6 separate regions of the Mus musculus genome follow, and all the other regions are reported to be linked to region 1. Evidence: microRNA targets listed by miRTarBase, many of them from high-throughput screens and not tested one by one. Region 1 holds a microRNA gene; each other region holds the end of a gene's coding sequence.
What was found. The annotated mature microRNA mmu-miR-449c-5p reads AGGCAGUGCAUUGCUAGCUGG and lies in region 1 at 1,882-1,902, shown strand. An mRNA with a match to its seed (bases 2 to 7 or 8) in the 3' UTR can be bound and repressed. Matches are read on the target gene's strand: a 7mer-m8 pairs with bases 2 to 8, a 7mer-A1 pairs with bases 2 to 7 and ends in A, and an 8mer does both.

Region 2: miRTarBase lists Cemip as a target of mmu-miR-449c-5p. Seed matches in the 3' UTR shown: 8mer at 1,591-1,598, 7mer-m8 at 1,809-1,815 and 8mer at 1,853-1,860.
Region 3: miRTarBase lists Slc35e2 as a target of mmu-miR-449c-5p. The part of its 3' UTR that is shown has no 7-base or 8-base seed match.
Region 4: the mRNA of Rgs17 is a reported target of mmu-miR-449c-5p. Seed matches in the 3' UTR shown: 7mer-m8 at 2,134-2,140.
Region 5: miRTarBase lists Vps9d1 as a target of mmu-miR-449c-5p. Seed matches in the 3' UTR shown: 7mer-m8 at 1,955-1,961.
Region 6: the mRNA of Phc3 is a reported target of mmu-miR-449c-5p. The part of its 3' UTR that is shown has no 7-base or 8-base seed match.

The regions. Positions count from the first base shown.
Region 1 is chr13:113,034,127-113,037,227 of GRCm38, forward strand. Mir449c (microRNA 449c) reads left to right here and starts at 1,857; the gene lies at 1,857-1,965. It overlaps Cdc20b (cell division cycle 20B), which reads left to right and starts at 1,253. Exons shown (of 12, transcript NM_001281487.1): 1 at 1,253-1,315; 2 at 1,588-1,650. The coding sequence starts at 1,253.
Region 2 is chr7:83,932,807-83,935,909 of GRCm38, reverse strand. Cemip (cell migration inducing protein, hyaluronan binding) reads left to right here. Exons shown (of 29, transcript NM_030728.4): 29 at 162-3,053. The coding sequence ends at 289. Among named protein-coding and RNA genes, the nearest start is that of Gm30440, 36 kb to the left of the region's middle.
Region 3 is chr4:155,618,165-155,621,263 of GRCm38, reverse strand. It overlaps Slc35e2 (solute carrier family 35, member E2), which reads right to left. Exons shown (of 9, transcript NM_177186.4): 9 at 1-2,752. The coding sequence ends at 2,515. The region is part of intron 1 of Gm16023 (predicted gene 16023); the gene reads left to right. Among named protein-coding and RNA genes, the nearest start is that of Gm16023, 5.0 kb to the left of the region's middle.
Region 4 is chr10:5,830,181-5,833,283 of GRCm38, forward strand. It overlaps Rgs17 (regulator of G-protein signaling 17), which reads right to left. Exons shown (of 5, transcript NM_019958.4): 5 at 1-2,961. The coding sequence ends at 2,773. Among named protein-coding and RNA genes, the nearest start is that of Mtrf1l, 7.8 kb to the left of the region's middle.
Region 5 is chr8:123,240,618-123,243,720 of GRCm38, forward strand. Vps9d1 (VPS9 domain containing 1) reads right to left here. Exons shown (of 15, transcript NM_028200.2): 14 at 3,071-3,103; 15 at 1,739-2,572. The coding sequence ends at 2,479. It overlaps 4933417D19Rik (RIKEN cDNA 4933417D19 gene), which reads left to right. Exons shown (of 3, transcript NR_045849.1): 3 at 1,182-1,742. Among named protein-coding and RNA genes, the nearest start is that of Spata2l, 5.9 kb to the left of the region's middle.
Region 6 is chr3:30,904,662-30,907,744 of GRCm38, reverse strand. Phc3 (polyhomeotic 3) reads left to right here. Exons shown (of 15, transcript NM_001165954.1): 15 at 255-3,083. The coding sequence ends at 409. Among named protein-coding and RNA genes, the nearest start is that of Gpr160, 50 kb to the right of the region's middle.

The sequences.
Region 1 (3,101 bases):
GTGGGGTTACCAGCACACATTTTCAACCGTTGTCATTGGAACACTGGGAGCTGGGTTGCTACGAAGCCGGTATTTCTTGAATTTTCAGACGTACTAGAGTGGGCTTAAGTTATTGAGCAGTTTGAATCTCCTAGCCCCAGCATGCACAAAACAACTTATTAGAGTTAAAATGCAATCTGCTGTCACTTTGGGATGGGGACCTGGGAGCAGAGAACCTGGCTGCTGGACCTCCTAGGTTGCTCAGACAGTTTAGTCTCCTGCCATATGGCCCAGCTTGCCTTGGCAGCTCAGATGGGCAGGCAAGGCTGAGCAGCCCATCTGGCTCCCTGTCTGTCAGTCGTCTCCAGGTCCCTCCAGACCCTCGAGCAATTTCATGATCGATCCAGTCCTAGGCCTGGTCAGCTGTCTCACTGGCTTTCCTTGGCTCTTTCCCTCTCTCACAAACTTCCTGCTTATGAAGTAGCTCCCAAGATCCAGCAAGAGAACTTGGCCAGTTCCCCAATTCCCCAAGTGGACAGTGCGGATAATTTATTAATTGGAAATGTCAACGCATTTCTCGGCAGCCTAGACACCCCCCCCCCCTTTTTTGAGTTTGAGTTTGAAGACAGAGGAGTTAACATGCTCATTGAGAGACATGTTTACGTTCAGGAATTTTCACAAGCGATTATCACTAAGCAGTAAACAGAAGGGTGAGAATTACTGCACGCGTCCAAATTTGATAATCAGGGTGGGGTTGAAGAAAAGGAGAGGGGAACGGAAAAAAAGGATTAGAGTCAGTTAGGACGAAACGTTTTTGCTTTTGAAAACAACAGTGAACTCCAAAAACCCCGCTTCTCTACCCGCCGACTCCGCACCTCCTGCGGGCTCGGGCAGGAGGCTCAGGCCCGCCACTGCTCGCGGCAAAGCTTGGCGCTGCGGCGCGCGCCGCTCGGGAGGCCCAGTGCGGGGGCGCGGGTAGGAGGGCGGGACCCGAGCGAGCACCCCGACACCCCAGACTTGACGTCATCGAGGCGCTGGCCTGTGGCGGGACCGACGGAAGGAGGTTCCCGCTTTGATTGCCGCCCCGCGGGCTTTTTAAAGGTTACCCTGGGGAATACGCTCCAGGAGCTGTGGGAGGAGCGAGGGTCTCGGGGGTAGGAGGGCAGGTTTGATGGGTTTAGGGGGACGAGGCTAGCGGTTTGGGAAGTCGTGGTCCTGCTTAGCCCCTGAGGGGGAGAGGCAAGGCGTCCAGGAACAGCGCACTCACTCGGAGATGGAGTGGAAACTGCAACGCACCGCCCGGAGGAAGATCCGGACGGAAGAAGAGATGTTGTGGGTGCGTACCATCCTTTTCTTTCTTGACCCAACCCTCCCATGGGGCTTCTTGCAGAAGGTACGGTTTGTAATACCCAGTAAGGACCAAAAGATGCCATGAAATTCTACAGCCTAGTTTAAATTTTGAACGGTGTGAAATTTAAGTTCTGGAGATACCTGGTTGCTTTAGAAAGAATGAGTGAATCAGCAAACCCAGGATTCAAAACAATTCCCCACTCTCCGTGACGATTTTCCTAGAGTTTTCTCCCTTCTTATGTTAATCTATTTCCAAAGGAGAACATCATGCGGGTGCTCGCCAACGGCATGAAGCAGCAGCGAAATCAAGGTTCCCCCAAGGTGAGTTTTCTGGGCTTGCCCTTCTGTCTTCATTCTGATCTCGAGCAAATTAATTCTTGCTATAGAAGGCATTTGCAGGAATTATGGGAGAATTAATACAAATTAAAAACCTTTACAGAATCTGAAGACTTAAGAAATGGATTCTCACAACTGATGTAGCTACTTATACCTGCTTAGCGGGCGCTTCCCAGTGTCCGGCTCCACAGAGGATGAAGTGTGGGTGTGTCAGGCAGGCAGTGCATTGCTAGCTGGCTGTTAGAACTTTATCCCAACAGTTGCTAGCTGCACTACCCTCTGCTGCACTCAGAAGCATGCAAAGACGTGGAAATAGTGCCATCTGGTGGATAAGGAGGTGTCTTCAAGACAGCTACTAAAAGCTGGATCCAATATAGTATTTCTGCCCCTTAAAGCTCTAACCCAAAGCTTGCAGTTCTTTTTAAAAGAGTGTTCTTTTGAAACTCATTTTTATTACCTTGTGTTTATTTACCTGCACTTATATCTGTGCATCACGTGTGTGCGTGGTGTCCGCGGAGCTCAGAAGAGGGCTTCTGATCGCCTGGAACTGGAGTTTCAGGCTTTTGGGGGCCGCCCTGTTGGTGTTGAGAATCTAATCTGTGTTCTCTGGAGGAGCAGCCAGTGCTCTTTTCAGCCGCTGAGCCATCTCTCCAGCTCCTGTACTTTCTTTAATGGATGAAAAAGTTAAATCCTCATCTGACTCACATCTCTAGCACCACTTACTTCTCTTTACACCAAATAGCCCACATGCTTTTAAATTTAGATTATTAGCTAAAATCTCACCATTTGAATATTTTTCTAGATAACATACATTTTTCTATATTCAATCAGTGACGCTTGAAATCAAATATATAGCTGGCCTTTTAAAATGCAGTGACTAATGTCACCTATAGAGAAATAACATTTAAAAGCCTTTACATTGTGTCTTTAGTTATGTTTCCTGCCCAAATTATTTTATCTTCTAGATACTTTACTGCCTAATTCAATTGAACTTTTGTTAATTCATTTTTACTTTGCTAACATCTTTAACTTAACATTAAATTTGGAAAACCCAAGTATAAGAATACAGAGTTCTTAGTCAAGCACTTAATGCCAGCACTTGGGAGGCAGAGGCAGGTGGATCTCCCGGCTCCAGGCCAGCCTGGTCTACACAGCAGTTCCACATCAGCCAGGGCTACAAAAAAAAAAAAAAAAAAAAAAAAAAACACAAAAACAACCTGTCTAGAAAAAAATTAGCCAATCAACCCCCCACCCCCAAGGGGGAAAAACAAACAAAACATCAAAAACCACATTTAAAGTTCTTAAAAGTTTTTTTTTTTAAAACATGGGTATAGCTTGGTAATATAAATTTTGTTTCTTATAGTTTAGGAGACATTAAACAAGGTTTCTCTATAAATCCTCTTCAGTTACTAAGATTAGAGTTCTGGGGTTGGCAA
Region 2 (3,103 bases), not on the chromosome of region 1:
GCTGGGCTGAGAGCTTACTCTAGAGGGCCAGAGCTCAATGTCACTAGGAAGGGATTGCCCTCTGGGGACAGAGGATGCTGAAGGGGAGCACCAAGTCCTGGCTTGCAGCAATTCTCTAATAGCTTCATTATTTTCACCCACTTGGTTCCTCACTTTTACAGAAAAGATGGCGTTCGTCGGCTTCAAAGGCAGCTTCCGACCCATCTGGGTGACTCTGGAGACTGAGGACCACAAAGCCAAAATCTTCCAAGTGGTGCCCATCCCTGTGGTGAGAAAGAAGAAGCTGTAAGGAGAGTTGCCACTTGGTACCACCCCAGGCTGGACCCCTACAGCAGCCGGGGTCAGGATGGCTAGGCCCCCTGGTTCTCAGCTCTGCTGGGCTAAGGGACAGATATCAGAGACCTTGGTGCTGCCACCTGCCCCTACTCAAGTCTACCTGCAGCCCCTGGGCAGTGTTGGCCGATGCTACAACCTCCTCTTGGGTGCTTCTCTCCTATCTGTGCCTCATCGGTAGGCATGGGGACCATACAAAGAGACCTGAGTTGTGCTGGCAGCAAAGGGCCACTTGGGCAGGAGTCTGAACCCACCTAGGAGATGGTCTGGATAATGTGACCACTTGCAGATTTCCATAGTCACTTTCAGATACATTAAGTGGCAGATGGAAGGAGTACATCTTTATTCCTGTAAGTGAGGGTGCGGCTTCCTGAGTTTAGGAGCTGGCGTATGGACAGAGCTGTCCAGCATGGCAGATTGCACTGGGGAGGAGATGGAACCCTGTCTACAGGGGATCCTTTTTTCAAGAGACTTCAGCTGGCACACTGGGACAGGGACTAGGTGGATCCTGTTTGTCCTTCCTGAGATTACAGGACTCAACTGTGCTTTGCTCTGTGCCTGGAGCCCATCAGTAGAAGTAATCATTGTAGTTGACATCTCCACTGAGTGCCCTGGATACAGAGAATGGAGCGATGAGAGCTCAGACCTGGGGGTCAGCTGGTGACAGGCAGCCAGGTCTCAGCACACTTTGATACCAGGTTGAGAGAGCAGAGGTGGATTGGAGGAGGGGAACCTCACCACACCCAGAAACATGGGGAAGGCTTCTTCTGGAAGGTGATGGTCCTGGCAGGAATCAAGGACAGAGATGATGAAGAGAGAAGAGGTGGCCTCTGGCATGGCTCAGAGGTGAAGGCTTTCCTGCCACCACTTGCAGCATCTGAGTCATGCTAGGTCACCTCTTGCTGACCCACTTGTGATAGAGAAGCAGGGTCTGCGGAGAGAAATGGACTGAGTTACGATGCACAGAACCTCGTTCAGATTGGTGTCCAGCCAGCCCCCTCTGACTCTGCGAGAGGGTGAAGTGAAGTTCACAGACCTGAGGCTGTACAATGGGTCTCCAGTGCACTTCAGCTTGGAGCTGAGCAGAAGACTCCAGGAAATCTGAACATGCTCTCGCCACAGTGAACCTGGGGTGTCAGAGATGGAAAGGACCTTGGGGGCCCTTGAGGACCATCTAGCCCAGCATTTTGTACCTACATCTGAGGAAAATGGTACTCAATAACACAGCCAGGTCTGTGAGCCCCAAGCTCAGCAACCCACTGCCACACCACATTGCCTCAGTGGCTAGCCTGGGGTGTCCAGTATTCCCAAGTAGCTTTCGGAAGGGAGCATATCACCTGAAATGGGGAGAAGCTGTTCGTGATTCTTGGGTGCGCACCAAATGGGAATTGAGTGGGGGGTTCCCCACTAGGTTCTTTCAATTTCAAAATATACGGTCTTTTGCAAAGGGCTTTTCCCTCTTGCCCCTCAGTACACACTGCCCACTCTCCTCTAGGCAGCAGCCCTGCCACTGTCTTTACACTGCCAGCCACATGTGGGCATGGGCTGCTCATGACTGTGGAATTCTTTTGGTGCCACCTTATTCCACAGTGGTGCTGGTATGCCCAATGGGTAGCATCAGGATATGCCAATGTGCTTCTGCTGGGCCAATTGGCTCCTTGTGGGGATCTGAGAGTGGTTGGCTCCAGACCAGGATCTTTCAGCTTATGTTCACTCTGAGCAAATAGCTCCGATGCCCAGACGAGTGAAAACTATCCATGTCCAATATTCTTCGGAGACATCAGGGTTTCTCTGTGTTTCATGAATGAGATTGGTCCCCTTTCCTCCACAACCACAACCTTTCTTTTTCAAAGAAGATTTGCTTCGGTCCCCTTTGTCCAGTGGTATTAAGGAGCCTTAGTCCCAGAGTCTACTCTCCAGGTTGAGCCAACTCGCAGGGGGTCTTTCCTACTAATGGATCTTGCAGCTGCTGGGATGTGTCTGTGGGACCATGCCTCTTAAGACATAGTGGCTCCAGTTGCGAGTGTCAGAGAAAAGACCTCTTCTGGGGAGATGAGTGGGAGGGGGAGGGGGAGGGGGAGGGGATAAAAGTGACCTCATGTTTTTCTTGTCTAAGTTTCATTGACTTTTCAAGGCGAGGGTCTCACACTGTGAACCACTTAAGACTCGATCACTTTCAGGTGGCCATGAATGTTGAATGTCTTTGGCTCAGTTCATTTCAGCAAATACCTATTGGAAAGTTCTCTGAGTTGTACATATGTTGAACAGTACAGGTTCTGTACGGAAAGCGTTCTTTCCTAAACTATTCACCAAGAGTCGATATACAGGCATTTTCTTGGTAGCACAAAAGTCTTTCTTGCTTAGAAAGTTGCTCTTGTCCTTTCTGTTGGTCAGCATTGTCACTGAGTCAGGGGCCTTTGATTGAAAGGCTCATCTGTCCTGTTGGCTTAATAGCTGGCTCTTTCTTGTGAATTGGATGCATAGCATGTTTTGTATGTAAATGTTCCTTAAAAGTGTCACCATGAACAAAGGTATATTTTCTATTTATTTATTATATATTCACTTCAAGAAGTCACTGTCAGAGAAGTGAAGAGTCATCTTAAGTATTATATTAGAGGATGTCCTTTGGACCACCGGAAGGAGGTGTGCCCAGAGCCAAGGACATCAGCTCTGGTTTGGAAAAATCCTGCTGTACCATATTAAACATACAAAGGATGTCATTGTCTTGTCTGCTTGTTTCATTTCCTGGTATAGTGGGTCTCATTGTTAA
Region 3 (3,099 bases), not on the chromosome of region 1:
GTGATCAACCCAAGAGCTTCACAATACATGCCAGTGATGTGCCACTAAGGTATACCCCAAATCATGGACGTTTTTAAATTTTATTTATCTATTTATCTGGTTTTTCAAGACAGGCTTTTCTCTGTGTTGCCCTGGCTGTCCTGGAACTTGTTCTGTAGTCCAGACTGCCCTCAAACTCAGAGATCCACATGCCTCTGATTCCCAAGTGCTGGGATTAAAGGCTTGCACCACCTCCCCTAGCAAATGTACTTATTTTTAAGATATATGTGTGTGTGTATATGTGTGTGTGTTCATACACAAGCCAGTGTGCAGATGCCCAGAGAAGCCAGAGGCATTAGAATCCCTAATGCTGAAGTTATAGGAAGTTGGTGAAACACTCTACATGAGTTCTGGGAACTGAACTTGGGTCCTCAGCAAGAAACATAACCACTCGGCCATCTCTGTAGCTCCTAGAACTATTTTTGAAATTAGAAATGTGTATATCTTTTAACTATGCGTGCAGTGAGTAAGCAGCTAGCTGGCTCAGAAGGTCAATCCAGTGTTCTGTTTACAACAGACCAGACAATGACATAAACTCAGGAGGAATTATCCAGGACAAGGAATGACACGTGGTGTCAATATTTGTACATTTACATCAGTAACAATTCATGAAGAACATAGTATTCTATGAAAGTACTAACAAAGTCAATTAAAAATGTATTGTTATGGTATAGTCATAACAAATGGTCAAGCAGGGCCGTTCCACGATTCTCAACCCAGCCCTGTCCTGGAAGACCTGAAGGAAGCAGCTGATTCCATGATCTTTCCACCTATGAGGAAAAGTCTCAAAGCAGCTTTAGAGAAAATTGCTTTAAGAAAAATCTTTGTTTTTGTTTCTAGCCCAAACCTTAAGAAAATCAAAACAAGCTGAGTCTTGTGACATGGGGGAGGGATGGCCAGAGCAAGTCACAATAGGTCATTTCCTAATTAAACATAGGACACAGGCAGAAATTCCAAATAATAGTAAGAAGCCAGGCATGTAGAGCTCTGAGCATACTTAGACAGGTCTGCGGGAAGGCCAGAAGAGCTCTGCCAACCAATACCCACAAGCACGTGCTCTTCGGTGTCAGCAGCTCCACAGCCAGATCTTGAGCAGACAGGTCTACACAGATTAATCCAACGTCTGCCATCTGTCCTCCACTGGATCTTTATTTTGAGAAGAGCAAAGAGGAAGGAACTAGAAACCTGGGCAAAGTCAAATGAGAGAACATCTTCACAATATCTTTACATAGCATAGTAAAGATACACCTAGCTGATGTCCAGCACACATCAGCTTCTTTTAAAAGTTGGCTTATGGATTAAAAGGCCTCATTTTGATCCATCATCATGGCAGATGGCTTTTTCAAGTAAATAAAATGTAGACATAATTATTGCTCTTTTTCACCCCATTATCTTTTTGAACCACCATGTGCACGAAAGACTTAGAGCAGGGAGGACCAGTGAGACCTGGACAAGGAGTGCCAGTGGCTGCAGCTTGTAAGTAATGGAGTCTTAGAGACTGGCTAGCAACAGACTGCACCCCACACACAACTCACAAAATGCCGAATAATGTAGAACCTCAGCGTGTTAACCCAAGGCCCACTGTTGTCCTCCACTCCACCTTAAGCTCTGGAGACCTGGTGGCTCAGGCAGTCATCATATGATCCCTGGTGAAGAGTTAGTTGTGCATGTACACTTTGATGTACCTTACATGGAGACACAGAGAAACCTCGACAGGCACCTGCTACATCAAAAAGAAGTGTCCCTTTAACTACAGCATAGCCTATAAACACTCAAATGCTCGTCAGAACGTCCCTATCAAGCATCCTGAAGGGAAATCTTCATAGGGCAGCCACTGTGCCATTCAGAATCGCCCGCTTCACATTCACATACTTAAAATGGAAAAGCACTCCAGACCATCTGCTTGAATTAGAGATTTGCTGCCAACTTCCCAGAATGGGCAATCACAAAATGGTAGCAGAAACATGGGACAACAACCCTGGAGCAGGGTAGTTCAATGTAGCACAGGCCAAGGAGGAGACACTTCTCCTTCACACAGCACTGTCTCTCCGTGGCAGGAGAAACTTGTCTCTTCTGCCTGCTACTCTGGGTTTTATGGCTCCATGCTAGAGTCATTGGCATCTGGAATGTCTGTTTCATAGACTGTCAAGAACCAAGAGGCTTCCATGGTGGTGGTGGTGGTGGTGGTGGTGGTGATAGAAAAGTTTAGGTCTCCTGGATGGCATCAAACAGACAGCAACTCGGGTTGATCCTGGAGCCTGTGCTTATTCCACAGTGCAGGCTGGGCACGGAGACACTGGTTCACTTGCAGCCAGGGAAGCTGTAGATCATTTGGTCCTGTGGTGCTCTGCCAGGCAGAAGCTGAGTCCCAAATTCCCCATCTGATTTCCAGGAAGGAGCGAGAGACCTGCCCTGCATCATTTCCCTCTAGTACAGAAGGAACATCTAGGCCTGGATCTACACAGCATCAGGTGATCAGTGGTGCTGTCTAGAGTCCTGGGGAACAAGGGGCTCTGTGTCATCTTCTGGGTTTCGGCTGGTGGCTGTGACCAGACTCTGCATAGTCTCCTGCTGATACTGCCTGGCCTTGTTGTAGAGCAAGACACCCAATGTGACAAGGATGGTGCCAATGGCAGACAGGCTAGTGATTTTGTTTCCAAAAACGATGATGCTGAGCCAGATAGACAAGGCGTGCTTCACAGTACTGGCGACACTACAGCAGTAGAGATAACAGTCAGACTCTGGGTTCACACCCACACAGGGTATAGCCTGCTGCTGGCAGTAACTACGAATGTCACACAATGCAACAGTGCTGTGTTGTCCATCCAGGGTCTCAGCCCAAAGAGGGACATGGATAAGGTGCCCAACACAGAGGGGTTAGGAGCATTGGGGGGGGGGGGGGTTCACCTGCATCTTCCCTCTTTTATTTCTCAGGTTTATTATTTTTTTAATGAAAAATTTCAAAACAAGGGCTGAAGAAATGTCTCAGTAGGTAAGAGCAATGGCTGCTCTTTCAGAGGACCTGGTTTCCAGCACCCAGATGGTGGCTCAAAACTGTAA
Region 4 (3,103 bases), not on the chromosome of region 1:
AAACATTCTCAAGTGAACTAAGAAGCCATCCCCCTGAAATATGAATTTAGCATAGAACTGCTCACATAGCAATGGCTAATGGCAGGGACTGTGCAAATCAGCTTTGGAACCTCCTTGTACACAGGTTCCAAAGACACAGCAACTTTGAAATCAAACACTGCAAATGCCTAGGTTAGAGATGAGGACTCTCTCAAGGAGCCTTATCTCTTCCATTTGGTAAAATATTAAATGCATTGTCACACAGACAGCTCGCCCAATAGTCCAGAGCGTATTGTAAAGATCGCCTGTGACAGTCAGTCACTGGCATCCATGGAACAGGGATATAATAAAGTCTACATCGAAAACAATCATGCATGCAGGGTGTGGTAATATATTACATTTTTCCTGGTCATGTGCACCAACTCATTGTGCCCCAAACACAGAACGAGGATGATGGTACACTATACATGTGTATACATCCTATTAGCATAATCAACACTAATCAAGGAAAGAATCAAATCATTCAGAACGGTGGGACTTCACAATAGAAGCCATGATGCTTTTACGTTTTCTTGACTCTTTAGGAAAAAATAGGATTATATTTTTGTAAACATCTTCATAACTATCTTTTTTTCTCAACAGATTACCAAAACTATTCAAATAGTAAACATCTAGGTGACATAAGCAAAGCGTATCTTAAACACACTAACACTTTCAGGAAAAAAAAAAATCCACAGGCATTTTTTAAAAGATGAATATTATAAATATCTTGCATTTAAACTACATTGTCATAAATAATGTATTTAAAAGTGCTGAGCATGGTAGGATAGTCAGCGGCGCCAGTGTAAACACAACGTTTTGTTTTTCCACTCTGCAAATTGTTTTTTTAAAATCCCATTTTGTCAAACACTGCAACAGTTAAAATATTTGCATAGGGAATATGTAATAGCCCTTTGAATCATAGCTCCTGAATTCTATATAAATTAGAAAATCATATTCACTTAAAAAACAATTCTTGAAATGTTTTAAATTTATGGAAAAAGAAACATGATGCCAACCTTTCAAGTAAAATAAAGTTAAAAAGAAAACTCCAAACTTGTGCTTTAAAAAAATATGTTTAATAAATTAAAAATATGAGAGGTAGTTAAAAATGACAAATAAAACCTATAATTTTAATATCATCCTTAATATAAGGCCTGTATTCTCAGTGGATATAAATCTTTTTAAATCTTTCATTTTTAAAGGTTACTCAACATATACTCATTGAGTTTAAGATTAAAAAAATAGGCTCCAGGGGATTTTGATATTGAAAGGTAAGACCTTGATATAAATATGACATTGATTGTAATTTTGGTTTTGTGCACAAGACGATACTGTTCAGAAGGTCATAAATACATGCTGTGGTCAGGGGAGTATTTCATGTAAAGAGTTAATGTAATTATAAAAAAATAATATTGGCAGCTAGAAGGTTTGAGCACTGTACTGCCTTTTAATTATGGATGAGGGTTAAGAGTTTGTTTTTAACAATGTTAAAATAAGTCTTTCTTGAGAGACTATGTGAAAACAGTTAAGGTCTGACATTGAAGGTTTTCTTCTTTGTAATTCTTTATAAAGTGTTACTTAGGAAAAACTTAAGCTTTTCACTGGATTATATGTTCAAGGTGAATACGCCACAAGTCAGATGCAATTCCTCACTATGCTTTTGACAGTGCTACATGTAGGCATTCCTTTACTAGTTCTTTTCCCTTTATATTCCCAAACTGGATTATCGAACTTATTATTGTTTACCTGCTGACATTCAGAGGTTTGCATCACTCTTTTAGAACTGAGGAGCCATTCTTTAATAACTCAATTATAGTACTGGACATTTCATATATACATAGACTCTTTTCTTCTTTCAGACCTAAAAACAGTATCACTCTTGGAATTTTCAATGAGACAGGATATCTGCAGATTGTTTTGTGCTTATTAAAATTTTTCTTATCATAAAGTTTTGTCTTCTCTCTCTTTCTTTTTCTTCTTTCCTTCTTTCTTTCTTTTCCTTTCTTTCCTTTTTTTCTCTTCTTTTCTTTCTTTCTTTCTTTCTTTCTTTCTTTCTTTCTTTCTTTCTTTCTTATATAGTAAACTCTTCTGTAACAAAAATGCCAGAATTTGGGCAGTGAACAACCAGAGGGCTCACACAGTAAGATCCTTTAACAGCTTCTATTTTTTTTAAACATGTACAGAAAAATTGGCTTCAGAGACGGTATACTAAACACAGTATGTAGCATGGTTAAATATCACTGTTACATGTTTAAAATAGCCTTTGTGTGTATTGGATTATGCTTTTAAAAAATGCAAACCACGGCCAATTTGTTGGCAATTGTTTCTAAGAGACCATATTGCACAAAAGTCCTTAAATACAGATACAAGGTATGCTACTGATTTAATAGCACAAGTAAAGGGCAGACGAAGCAGTTTTACTTTGCACATGCGGCCTCTAGAGATGCACTAGGGGATTGTTCAGAGGACTAGGAACACAATTTGCTTGCAAGTAGAGCAAGTGTTGAATCAAACAAACTTAATTTGGCAATTCATTGTCTCATATAGGCTTTTTTTGTTGTTGTTGCCCCAAACAGAATCATGGATAACCTTGATAAAAATGGAGACAAGAGACCTTCCTCATTGTATTTCCCCAGCAGTCAACCTGTAGTTTTTCAGGAACTCAATTTCTGGTGTTATTTAATTACTTTTATTTCCCATCCCAGCCCTCTGAAATGGATTTTTTTTTTTTTTTGGCCTGTCAACTGAAAATTAGGATTCAGAAGTACAGCTGGTGGTACTTTCCACAAAAGCTTTATAGATCTGTGAGTTCAAGAATCTTGGGAAAGAATCTCTGTGCATTAGGGTGTAGATCTGAAGCTGGGCGTCTTCATACATGTGTGGGCTGGGGTCCAGCAGACTCCTGTTGATCACCTCTCTAACTCGAGAATCCAGGCTGACCTAAAAGGAACAGAAGCAGATGTGCCCATGTGGTTTTGTCAAATAAAAGGTATTGGTTAAGTAATCATGACATCTCAGAGAGATTTCATAGGTTCAATCTCACACTCACGACACTCACACCCATAACACTGGAGATGGTCCT
Region 5 (3,103 bases), not on the chromosome of region 1:
GAAACCCTGTCTCGAAAACAACAACAACAACAACAACAACAACAAAACCAACAACAACAAAACCAACAACAACAAAAAAAGAAATTCACAGGCAAAGTGAATTTTGAATTATGAGTTTCAGTTATATACAAAAAATGATTCTGACACGCACGCACGCATGCACGCACACATGTACACACACAGAGGAGCATCGCTTGCACAACTGGCTTCATCTTAGTGCCATGGTCAGCTGAGCAGCACTGCGTGGTCTCTCCCAGGGTGTGCCGCAGTATGTTCTGATTTTATCCCAACCCAACAGGTACTCTCAGAACTGGGATTTACGTTAACCCAGTAACCTTGGTTCTGTGAAGTGGGGCCTTAAAACTGACTTGAAAGTCAGAGCAGGGGCTGGTGAGATGGCTCAGTGGGTAAGAGCACCCGACTGCTCTTCCAAAGGTCTGGAGTTCAAATCCCAGCAACCACATGGTGGCTCACAACCATCCACAACCATCTGTAACGAGATCTGACTCCCACTTCTGGAGTGTCTGAAGACAGCTACAGTGTACTAACATATAATAAATAAATAAATCTTAAAAAAAAAAAAAGAAAGTCAGAGCGGAAGCCTGCAGCAGGTCCATTACCATAAAACTCAGTAGTCCCCTGGCATTCCCGTCCAAGGTCTCTACACCTCACCAGAGCACGAGCCTCGAGGAGCCGACAGTGCCGACGATCCAAGTCAGCTGAGACACACGGTATCTGTTTTAACATTCATTCATCTTTCATTCATTTTTTGAGACAGGGTTTCTCTGTGCAGCCCTGGCTGTCCTGGAACTCAGTTTGTAGACCAGGCTGGCCTCGAACTCAGAAATCCACCTGCCTCTGCCTCCCAAGTGCGCCTCCACTGCCCAGCAAGTGCTCTTAACTACTGAGACATTTCTCTGGCCTAGCTGAGACCCGAGTCTGTGCTATTCCTGACGCAGGTGAGTGGGAAGTAGCTGCTGGGGGCTTCCGGCCCATTCCCAATCCGCAGAGATCGCGACCATAGGTCAAATGCCCCAGGAATGGGTGTCGTGCCCAGGCTGACCTGGGCCCACCACTTGCTTTTGGTGTCATGGCCTCAGGCTTCTCTTGCACCATTTGCAGACTGGACTCTGAGGTCAGCCTACGAGGCTCCAAGATGCATGTTCTCCATTTCCTTGCAGGTTGGAACACAAGTGTTCAATAAATGCCCAATAACCAAGTTACATCTAGCCTGACTCCAAGAGGCTCCAACGACCCCACTACTACTGCCGTCTGGGACTGGAAACTCCCCCGTGTCCTGCCACCACCTCCTCACAGCAACCCCAGCTGCCATGGGTATTTCCTTTCTTGGGTGGGTCAGCTCGCCTCCGTGGAAGATGCTGCCTGTGCTCGGATGCCAGCATCACCCTAGGGCCCCAGCAGAACCAAAGGGCATCGCTGTGTGGGACAGTCCATTGTGTGTGAGAGTAGGCTGAAGATTACTCAGGCGCCTTCAGGGAACTGCTGTGGGCTCAGGACTACAGTAATGACTCAATTCCAGCCGTCCTAATGGTACCCTGCAGACACTTGCTATCCCAGAGCGGGGAAGTCCACAATTTCCTGGCTGGGAACAGCCCTGGGAAGAGACTGCTTCTGTGCAGAGGATCTGGGGTTGGGCTGTCAGCTGTGATCTCTAGGAGGCTGGCTGTGTTGCCTGAGTCTTGGCTGCCTAGTGGGTAAACGAACAAGTCACATGGACTTCGGTAGAGTGACTTCTTTATTTTAGGCTGAGTTGGTAGCCACTTGGAGACATATAACAGTCTAGGGGCTGACCTCTAGACTCTGACATTGAAGAGTCTGTACAACTGTATTTGTTAGCCAGTGTCCTGAACATATTTCACTGTCCCCAACCAAGATAAGCCCAGGGCAGGATGTCCTGGACCTTGGTAGGAGAAAGGCTCATAACCCAGGCCTGGGCAGTGACACCCGGGCCAGCAAAAGCAAACAGGGCAGTTGCTACCTGGTAAATAAACAGTACAGCCTCACACTACCTACACCCAGTTCTCTGGGGGCAGGGTAAAGCCCACTTGTGACTAACAAGAAACTGGCTCACACAAACTTGGGCTGTCTCAGGAGACTGGAGGCATGTAAAACTAGATTGGCCCGGCAAGGTTCCCAATACCCATTTCTGTGCTGATACCCCAGTGGGGGCTGCCTAGTGTCCATGAGAAGAGGTCAGAGCCATCAATCAGTGCTGCAGGCTCCCCAGGGAACGGCAGCTAGATTTCTCCTATGGGGTCTGGGGCAGGCCTGACTCAGCCAGCCATGCCCTGTTAAAGAGGCACTGTCCTAGGCCTCCAGGACAGATGCATGGTAAAGAAGGTGAGCAAGTGCTATAGAGTGCTACCACAGCAAGCTGGCCTTCAGTGTCCCCACACCAGATATGCAGTGCAGCGTGGAGGTCCCGTGGCTCCTTTGGTCTGTGAGGTCCAGCCACCACTACTTGTCCAGCCGTCCCCGGGACAGAAGTTCCACATAGCTCAGGGCGCTCTGCAGTGATGTCAGACAATACCCTTCTTCTCCAATCAAGTACCTGTGTGGAGTGGGGAAGGACGTGTCGACTGAGAGGACAGATGGACAAGCCTAGGCCGCCAGAGGGCAACATCTTCCCTTCTTGCTTGGGCAATGACTCGGTCACGGGTAGAGTTGCTAGAGAGCTGGGTCAGGGCGGACCTTTCCCCACTGTCAGTCCAGGTCCTGTGATGGCCCTGTGGTGCATACTGCTCTTCCCCGGGCAGATGCTGATCAGAGACACCCTCTGGCTCCTGCACAGGGTCCTCTGAAGGCTACAGAGCATGCGGGTAAGAGTGTCCCATGCACAGTGGATCTCAGAGGGATGTCCGAAAGTGGCGGTGGTGCTGCGGGCCCCCTTGTGGCTTCCACGGCTTACTATAGCCATTGCTTTTGTACTGGGGGGGGTGAGGTTCCCTTGTCCCCCCTTGTCAGAGCTGCTCTGTCCCCAGCTCTTCCCACAGAGACCCTTCCCCCACATCAGCCTCCTAGTCACCCACTAGCCTGGGCCCCTTCCTACCCCTCATGAGTGAACTCTTCCAGGGCCGCACAC
Region 6 (3,083 bases), not on the chromosome of region 1:
TCCTCTCTCCCTGTATGTGGAACTATGTTATGCAAAGATGAGTCCATGAGGTGTAAAACCTAGCAATGCAGTTCTTTTGCATGAGAAATAGGATATGTTGCCTGATTCCTCTTGTGTAATGGTTTTTTGACTTCTTCAAGGGTGAGCTCCAGGCCTTGTAGCACATTGGCTTCTCAGCCTCTGTTGTGAGCTCTCACACCCAGTGACAACAGAACTCTAATTGTGTGTAACTCTGTCTTCTCATGGAATTCCAGGCTGCCAGGACGTTGCAGATGAGTTCAGGGCACAAGAGATTGATGGGCAGGCCCTGCTCTTGCTAAAAGAAGACCATCTCATGAGTGCAATGAACATGAAGCTGGGCCCAGCCCTGAAGATTTGTGCACGCATCAACTCTCTGAAGGACTCTTAACAGGAGCGAGGCTTTGTGCTTCTCAGCCCATTCCTCTCACAAGGTGAAGGTAAAGCCTCGCTGGGATTCTCTCCTGAGAATATCAGACTGATGGAGGAAGGCCGAGTGCACTGGGACCGCCACGGCCAGTGCCGACGTTTCTCTTCAGATGTCCTAACTCATCATACATTTTCATAATTAGTGAACATCGGTGACATTAATTTTACCACTTACATGCTACACTGAAAGACTTGTTACAGAGGCCCATATTTTTCAAAGAAACATGTTATACTAGATAATTTTTTAAAGGTAATGTTTATCATTAATATAAAAAAACCTTTTAAAAATAATTATTGATTTACACTCCCCCTCCTTTAATTCTCTTTTCTTATACGTTTTCCTACCCAGTTAGTTTTCTAAATGTTGTCATAGAGATATAGGATAATTTAGGAGCCCATTGACAGAACTGAATGCAATGAAATGCCAGTCTGTTTTAAAAAGCGTATCTTCCAGACAAATGCTTTGGCTGTGAAAAGGGATTGTGTTTTAGCATAAACAGTATTTTTGAAGTTCTCAAGAGTCTCTAGTCTAGCCTTTACCCAGGTTGGCATGACTGACAATTTTCCTCCTGGTTTGTACATTAAGAGCAATAGTTCTCAGTGGAGAACTTGTCCTCCAGGGGACAATTGGCAATATCTAGACACATTCTGGTTGCCATGGCTTGGGCTTGAGTTTTGTGAGGGTGGTTATAGGAACTGAGGTGTGACAGCCAGTGGAGATGTTGCTGACTACCCTACAGTACATAGGATGCCCCTCTGTCACCAGGAACGATGTATTATGGATGCCAGTGGTGCCAGTGAGCACAGTGGGCAGCCTGGCTGAGCAGAGAGGCATACTTAAGTGATGGCTGTGAGGAGGGCGATGTGCAGTGAAGGGTTAGCCAGTGGCACCAGAGTTCTGCAGAAGCAGGTTTTGGTTTTACCGTATACTAGAAAGGAAAGGAAATCCATAAACCTGGGCTATAAAACCAGGCTAACTCACAGACCATGTGACTCTGGTGTGGCCCTGGCCCATTGTCACCTCTTCCTGACTCTGTTCTGTGCACCGATGATGGTGCTTGATGCAGCCATGCCTCGGAGCCTCTTTCAGCAGCCCAGTGGCAGTGGAGGTGGAATCCCTTCCTTGAAGCAACCCTGCTGAGTCTGGCTAGAATGCAGTTCTTTCTCCCTTACTAAGGCTGTGGATTCTTCCCACGAAGTATTTAAAGTGATTTCTCTTAATCAGAAGTTTTTATTCAACAGTTTTCTGTTAGGACACTAAGCCAAATTTTTCTGTGGATGCTCTGAAATCTTTGTAGTGCTGGGCATCAAAAGATTTGCTGACATTGTTTGCTTTCTCTATCTTTTTGCTACATGTTTGAGAACTCTGAACAAATGAAGGGACATGTGCATAGCCTTGGCACAGATGGAAAAGACAGCAGAGTCTGAGCTCAGTCATCTTTATGGCGCTTTTCAGAGATTGGGTTGAGTTAGTAGAAGACTAAAAGATGTCACAAAGACATCACAGATAAATTTATCTTTTGGCTTTGTGTACATTAGAAAATGTTGGTTATTTTTATACAGAAATATAGTGGATAATTTTTTTAATCTTTAGATGCCTCTTGTTTGAATGTATGCTTTGTGAGATTATTGCTGTAGTAGTTTTAAGAGCTGTTCACTAGTAGTCCTGTGTAGACTCAGAATGTGTAAGTAGCTGAGGCTCCTGTTTCAGACTACAGTAGTATAGGCTACGTTCCCTATTTCTTTGTGTCACATTTGGTTATTCACATTTCAAGGAAGGCAGGTATTCTACAGTCACCTGCATATATTAGTACTGAGTCATCATGGCAGAGTTGTCACGGACGTTCCTGTCTCCAACAGAGGCTGGCTATGCAGCACTAAGGACTGCCTGCCATAATGAAGGAGGCACAAGGCACATTTCCTCTGGAATGAAAACTATGGTGTAGTTAGTAATCCACAGTGAATATGGGATTGTCCAGAATAGACCTCCAGCAATAATGCTTCCCTCCTACAAATACTTACATCTAGCCTTTAAGGCATTAACTCTGCACTTGTACTAAAACCAGCCCATCGTGTGCTTATGAGAAACCCCTGTGCCTAGCACTGTCCATAAGCACCCCTACACAGTTTACACGAAGGGTTTCTCTTGGAGGATGCCTTCTTGTCCTTCGTCTTAGAAGTAGCCCAGATCTTCTGTTGTCTGCACTTAAATTTAACTAGCAAATACACTTTTTTTTTTACAAGTGGGTTATTTTATTTAGAAGTGGCTCATTTGGTGTTTGGTAGTTCTCCCATTGCTGTAGGTACTTCTTTCTAGGTAATTTTTAATTGTGCTAATTTGAAAGCTTCAATTACATTAAATGGGGACACACTCTGTGTTTCTCTCTATCTCCTGAGTATTAGGCTGTTCAATGTGACATGGACAGGAAGAACGCTAGTTTCATTTCCTTTCTTATTACTAAGCACTTAAGAACTTTCTTAGAGGAAAAAAAGAAAAAGACAGGAAGGGAACATGGTTTCTTCCTATTGTTGCTTTCTGAGTTTGCCTTGCCTGACTTGAAACCCTTCAACCACTGTGGGACACACTTTTCACATGTTATTTGTTTTAAGTTCTGTGTTCTTAGGAAAATAAACAG